2 linked regions of the Caenorhabditis elegans genome follow. The protein of the gene in region 1 purifies or fractionates together with the protein of each later gene. This does not show direct contact. Each region holds a gene or a part of one and is shown in the gene's direction. Other genes may lie near its edges.

Region 1 (3,756 bases):
TTTTGCAGAACCACTCCCTCTGTGTTCTCCATCTCTTTTTTTTCATTGTGAAAAGTGTGTGCTTCTCAGTATGAAATGAACTTTGTTCGAAAAATTTTAAAATTGTTAAATGACAAGGCTTCCACAATTAAATTTGCAATTTTTTGATAGTTTTAGTACCCACGAGAATACCGTATTTCTTCTATTAGTATGGCCTCCCTATTAGACTTGCACTCCCTATTAGTATTGCCCCTCGGAGACCTTCCTTTTCTGAATTTTTACATAAGATTCGAGCTTTTTCAGAAAAAAAAAACTAGTAAGCTGAAAGTCAGAAAAATGTTCTGAAAATTAGTATTGCACTCCCTATTGGGCAAAAATAAAAAAAGTATTGCAAGCGGGAAGACTATCGAAAAATAGTATTGCAGCCATACTAATAGAAGAAATACGGTATAAGCAATTTAAGATTTTATGCTATCATTTACTATATATAAAGCGCTTATTCCGTTTGTCCATAGTTTGTAGTCTATGTAGTCTTTGTAGTCTGCGAAGTTTTAGCTTCTGGAGGGATATAAAAAATGGAGGGATATAAAAAAAAAATCAAAAATTTATTTATTTATCGATTTTATGAAAAGTTAGCAGGACCGCGTAGACCGGTACATATAGGCTAAGAAGCTATTTTTAGCAAAAATTGATAACTGTCTTGTGAAAAACATGTCTGTAAAGTTTCGTAACGAAAACTCAATCGGTTGCTCAGAAATGAGCCCAGAAGCCTTATGGAAACAAAAAATAAGGAAAAGCTTAGTACAAATTCATCTCTAAAACGGTTCAAAAAAGTCCGAATCGTATGAAAATGCACCAGAGAGTGACATTTTGTGTAATTTACCATATTTGAAAGTTTGGTAAAAATTGGAAACTCAGTAGCTTCAAAACGAGCTTAAAGGTACTAAAATGTGAAAATTAGAAGAGTTCATGCTTCCGCTTGTTTCCATGATATGAAATCAAAAAATACACTGGTAAAACAAGTGAATGAACGTTATTTAACTTTTTAAAATTTTGACACTTTTCGAAAAAATCGAAGTTTTCGTGAAAAATTTCCAAATTCTCGAGGTGTCCCATAGCAGTTGGGCGGTCGATTTTTTAACTTTTCGCTCGTTTGCTCTCAATTTTTCAGCAATCAGAATAAAATTGTAGGTACATAGGTTTTTTGGTATGCTGAATCCGATTCCGATACTAGTTTTCCATGAAAAAGTTCGAAAGTGTCTGAAACCCTAAAAATTAGGGGGTGTCCCATAGCAGTTGGGCGCACTGTATATGCATCCGTTTAAAGTTTATTTTCTACTAGCCAGCACAGTCCATAGAGTTCTAAATAGCGTTATCCCGTGCTGCGAGGCTGCCCCATTTCGTTTTGACCTACAAAAAATGCGGGATTTTTTTGCCTAAAAATATGACGTCAGCACTTTTGTAATCATGCAAAATCAGTTGTGAACTCTGCGTCTCTTCTCCCGCATTTTTTGTAGATCTACGTAGATCACGCCGAAATGAGACACTCTGAAGTAGTTTCTCCAAAAACCTCACTGAAAAATTTTGTGCAACGTTATCTGTATAGTTACAAATTTTCGATGTCTACTAAAAATATTGCAAATTGAATTATAAAGAGTTGGTCAGTTGAGAAAATGTTTTCCCATCCTACTCTCTATATCGAGTTATACATTGTCAATCTCATATCCTACCTAATTCCAAAATAACACTCAATTCAACAATAAAAGAAAGTCACGTGGCAACGCGAAAAAAAAAAGATAAACAAGGAACGTCTTCTTCTTCTCTATTCAATTCCATTCATAGTGGACTAGGTGAGCCGCTCGTCAGTATCTGCTCACCGTCTGCGTCTCTGCTTGGCTCTTCTCTTTCTCTCCATGTGCTCCGGCTCCCCCTCCTCACACTCAACCACACACACACACACACGTATACATATCTTCTTATAGTTTTGTTGCATGCTTCATCTCTTTTCTCATCTTTTGCCTTCTATGTACTTTGCTTTTTTTCCAGATCTCCTGATGAACTAAACTCTTGGGAAATAAATTATGAGGATACGGCACGTGGTGTTCTGCCTGCTCGCACTGGTTTATGGTGAGTACTTTGAGGTTTTGGTGTTTGATAGCAAAAGTCATCAATCTATTTTTCGGGTTAATTGGGTTAATATAGGTATTATTATGCAGCTAGATGATGATTTGGTTCTATCTAAACAAAAAAGTGCAATTAAAATCGAATTCTCACTGGTTTACATAAATTTTTAGTTATAATCACAAATTTAATAGTTTACGCTCTATTTTTTTTTTTGACAAACTAGATATAGTTAAACATATTTGAAATTTGATCCAATATCCAATATAAGTGAAATCAAGTTAAGGTTGTTAAGTTTGATATATGTAGTAGTAAATATATAGAAATGTTTTTCATATCAGGTTCAGCCAATCATATTCGAGTTGCGTAGTGCTTATGCAGTTGATAGGTTTTTTGGTATAATCTAGTTATGTTGTAACTCTAAAAAAATTTTCTAATTATCATCACGAATATGTATATCGTTTAAGAAGTTAGAAAAAAACACTGATTATTTTTTTATTAGCTCAAAAAGTATGTATTAGTCCCATTTAGCTGGCTTTTAGAAATTCGTGTTTAATTTTGATTAGTTTGACTATGGAAATTGTTTGAGCCCAAAGTTAAGCAATTTATGTTATTGCAGATTAGCTGCAGACTTTTTCTATTAGAATAGAATCTTATTACATAGTTATTATTGCCTAATTTCAGCTATACAAAATGCGACTTATCAACTTATCATTTTAGTTGTAGTTGATCGCAGTTGAAGAAAATTGAAATGTTATTATGATCTTAAAAAAATACATATCACTTTAATTATGAGTGACTTGAAATTGCTATTTTTTATTGCAATTCATAGTTGATATATGTTCAAAAAAGTCAACAAGTTAACTGATTTGCTGATAGTGAATATTAAATTTAGCGCAATGAGCAATTGATGCAATTAAATGTTAGTTGCAGTTTTATTCTGTTAGTGGGTATTTAGAAAATAGCTAGGTGCAATTTAAACTAAATTTTCAACAATTTAGGAATTTAAACTTTACTTTTTAGTCGCATCACTTATCTAGGCACCCCACTTTTTAACTTTAAAAGCGCCTAACAATAAGTATCTAAGTTGTCCTGTATTTTATTTTAAAATTGCCAATTTGTTAATTTTTTCTCTATATAATTAATTATCTATTGATATTTACAAAATGTGCCGAGTCCTGCCCTTCCAAAGGAAACTAGTGGGGTGCAATACCAATAGAAGAGTACAAAATTTACAGAAGTCCAAAATAATATGCATCACGGTTGAGAGCTTTTTAAATTTGTTATCAGTATTTAGGCCTTGGCTCAAACACATCATAAATTGGTACCTGTGCAAGAAAATTAACCAAATACAGCTTTCTACGACCCTTTTCAATTTTTTCCAGGCGCCGAAACTTCCGACGATGATCTCGACGAACGGACAAATATCTTCATCCGTGATAAACTGATTCCGGCGTTGAAGCTTGCAGAAGGTAGTTTGTTTTTTTGGACTCAACAGAAAATAATCGCCGGCACTCAAATTAGATGGCATTTATCGTCAGAAGAAGCTTTGGGCAAAATCCCCCGGTAGCAAAGCAAAATAATTTCGTTCGATCAAACATTAAAAGAGATTTTCAACTATATATATAATCAGTGATAAGCCTATAATCTTTAGTG
Region 2 (3,756 bases), on another chromosome or scaffold:
AGTCATTCTATAAACGTTGTCATCATACATCATACCACTTTTGAACTATCTGTTTTATCCAGCTTGTAAAAATCAGGCACCTCTATTTGAAATTTTTTCGTACACAAAAAACTGTTTTTAATAAATGATTACATAGGCACATTACGCGTCTTATCATATGGTTGTTAACCTGTTCAGCAGATAGAAAAATTGATAACAACGGAAATGAGTCATGTAAAATCGATCCGGCCTAACATAATTAGCCGAGCTCGGAAAGTTCCGCAAATCTACTTTTTTGAAATTTGCCGAGCCCGGCAAACGGCAAATTTGCAGCACACCTACTCAGATAAAGATGAAGCCGATTAGGATACATCAAGCAGATCAGTGCAGAAAAAACTGATTGTCCCAACCGACTTGAGTATCTTCGGAAGTCAATTATAGTCTAGTTAACTTAGTTAACTTAGTTAATTGTCTAGTCAACTGCAATCCACAGTCGAAAAAATGCTCACATAAAAAAGACATAAAAAATTATCACATTTTCCTAGTTTGTTAAGCACGGCAAATATTAAAAAACGATATTTGCCGAATTTTCCGAGCTCTGAACTGTAGAACTGAACTGTACATTATCACCCATTACTACCCTTCGTTTTGTTTCATAGGATCCAACAAATTTGGGCGTCAAGAAAAGAGAACGAATTGCAAAAAAACTGCAGCGCCAATATTTTATGGTTCTCATCTTTGCGATATTTTTATGTGCACCGCCGCCCTCATCTATTGCCGCGTTGGAAGGAAAATATACGATATTCAATGCTTACTTCAAAATTTATTCTGGATATTTTTGAAAATCTCGCAGACGTGTTCAGTCAGCATTCGTGGTTGAGGATATCGAACACAAAAAAAGATATCATCGATCACGTGTGATGACAGATTTTCTGCGACTAACAGGTTTGCTTAATAAAAGTTACTAAAACGCTGAAACTTCTGGAAATCATTTTAATACTGTTTTCTTAAGATATCTTTGCAAAACTGGAAAAATACCAGAAGATAATCAAAGTCAGTCAACCCTCTCTGTACATTTCTGTCACATTCCTTCTGTTTTTCTATTTGGTGCGTAAAAAACGAATATTGTTTTAAAAAACAATATTTATCCCTAAAAATTTCCAACAAGAATTTCCACATATTTCTCTTGATATTCAATTTTTCAAAATTTTCGGCTAGCTGGGCTCTAATTTCCGTTAGTCACAAAATCTCATTTCCCGTTTTGCGAAGCCCTTCAAGCTTCAATAATACACCATTTCAGCCTACGAGAATCATAAAAATTTTATGATTAACTACGACGTAACCAAGGGTATCTGAGCTTTTGGGGCAATCTTTTGAGATTTCAGTTTTGTTTCCAAAATGTAATAAAACATTTTCCCAGTTTAAGTTTTTTGTTAAAATTTTAATTTTTTCCTGTGTCGCACAGCAACAAGGCTTATAATTATAAGAAAAATTTCTAAGAATACGTTTTCAAAAAACTCATTTTTTCTTGATTTTCTTTTTCAAATATTCATTCTCAAATTTTCCATATCCACCCGGAAATTTATTTAAGTGCGTCAAACACAAATTCAAATTCTTCCTTTGTTTTGTAAATCAAAAAGTCAGATACGTCACAACGCATTCTGTTCAAAAAATGTAGTCTGTGAGCAGGTGACCAGAACCTTCCATCTCTCAATAATCTCTTCTTTATCCTTTCATTAGACTGCGCAACGCCCTCCGGCTCATGACCACATATCGACTCGCCTCATGGGCTCATTATCTGCCATTTCCTTTCTCTCTGCTCTCTCTTTTGCTTTACCTCTCCGCTATCTCTCTACGGTCGTCATTTGAATATTACCTCGAGACAGCAGACGGCCGTCTGCTCAGACTGGTGTAAACCAAGAGTGCCGTAATTCCGGAGCATCGTTGTATCTGCGTGGAGTTGAGGGGTTTTAAACGCTTTTGTTATTTTCTTTTTTATATCGGTGCTGACGAGAGTTTTTATTTTTGATTAGTTGATTTAATTTTTTTCCAGAGAAACACAGTTATTTACAGAAATGTCGGAAGAAGCTGAAGCTGGACCATCGCCAAAAGTTAATGGGGAAAATGGAAACGGAACAAATACGGTAAGAGCTTTTTTTTTTGAAAAATATAACAGAACAACTTTCACTAAAATTTTTCACCGGGAAAAAATTAAAAAAAATCATCTTTACAGTTCGACGACTTGTACGTGGATGACAAAATGCGTCGAATGATTGTCGACCTTCAGCGTCAATGGCTCACGGATTATCACGATAGCCGCGAGAAATCTCTCGTTGCTCTAACTGAAAAAGTAAGTCAACCACCCCAAAGTTTTAATTTTAGAAATCTATATTTTAGCTCCATCAAGAATTCATGGAAGATCAGGAGCGAGTCCGTCGCGATTTGTTGGTTCAGTTCAAGATAGAGCTCGACCAGACAAAGGAAGAGCTGGAGAAGAAGCACGCGGAGAATCTCAAGGAGGAGATTGAAAAGCTGTCGGAAAAACACCAAAGGGAACTTGCTGTCGCTAAGAAGAAGCAGTGGTGCTGGCAATGCAACAGCGAGGTGAGATTTTATGATTTTATGATTTTTTGATTTAGACGGGTTCTCTATTTAAAAGATGTAGAGTGTTGCCAGATATTTCAAAATCTCTAACATCAGTCTGAGTCGTGATACCAATGTTCATAGTACTATATCTTATTTGTAAGCTAATTTTCTTTCGAGCATGAAAATAATTCTTTTGCGCTCCAGTGCTGTATTAATAACGCTAGACCTGAAACATCATGATCATATTTCAGGCAATCTATCATTGCTGCTGGAACACTGCTTATTGCAGCGTTGAATGCCAACAAGGACACTGGCAGATTCATCGCAAGTTCTGCCGCAGAAAGAAGAGCAACGGTGGAGCCCCAGGACCAGTTCAGCCAATTGCTGAGCCTACTCAAAGTCAACAATGATTGAAACTTAAATAATATGCTATCTGCGAGCCGGAGGCCCTTTGAAAAGTAACAAAGCTTGTGTCAGGTTTTCGAAGTTTATCTCATCACACATCCCGTTTTCTGTGTTACTACTGTATATCTTCTCTCCAATAACATGCAATATTTTTCTATAATCCCATGACAACAACAATTTTAAGATCTTCTATATAAATCCTGTTAATTAGGAATTTGGATCAATTTCGGAGAGATCTCAAACTTGTGTTAATTCCTTCGAGAAATAATCAAGAAATTATGTGAATAAAGTTTATTTTGATACACATGTCCTTTTGGATACTGTAAATGTGAAAGATGACAAAATGAAAATGTTCCTAGACACTTATGGGGATCAAACGTGTTTTCACATCCGATGTGTATTGTATAAATGTAAACAATTAACGAAGATATGAATTGACATAATGAATTGAGAGTTATTCAACCTCTGCAATTAAAATGAATATAAACTTCTCTGAAAAACTATTTCAGAAAGCACCCAAAAATTCAAATTAGAAGGAGTGCTATGAAATTTACACGGATTGTACAACAAATATACTTTGTTTGAGTTTCAACAACGAAACGAATAGAAATTGCGATTTGTGAATAAATGAACATCGTTTGAGTATGTTTAACAACTTGCGATGCGATAATAATAGTAAATCTTGCTCAATAATGTGTAAGTGCTTTACTATTCATCAGACCGATTCCTAAATAAGGTTTGTCGATTTTTCAGAATTTTTCCGTAAAGTAAATCTAAATTAATTTT

What was found.
Region 2: the proteins of daf-1 (region 1) and bra-1 purify together in Caenorhabditis elegans (affinity purification with western blotting, with the first as the bait; one study listed by BioGRID). This does not show direct contact.

Annotation. Positions count from the first base shown.
Region 1 is NC_003282.8:130,391-134,146, forward strand, and holds the start of daf-1 (Cell surface receptor daf-1), read left to right. Parts: upstream 1-2,025; 5' UTR 2,026-2,060; coding exon 2,061-2,106; intron 2,107-3,485; coding exon 3,486-3,572; intron 3,573-3,756. UniProt on the Caenorhabditis elegans protein: Probably involved in a TGF-beta pathway. May be a receptor for TGF-beta-like ligand daf-7. Controls the decision of whether or not larvae enter a developmentally arrested state, known as dauer, in response to environmental conditions.
Region 2 is NC_003284.9:13,596,417-13,600,172, forward strand, and holds bra-1 (MYND-type domain-containing protein), read left to right. Parts: upstream 1-2,032; 5' UTR 2,033-2,054; coding exon 2,055-2,123; intron 2,124-2,212; coding exon 2,213-2,329; intron 2,330-2,376; coding exon 2,377-2,583; intron 2,584-2,816; coding exon 2,817-2,975; 3' UTR 2,976-3,271; downstream 3,272-3,756.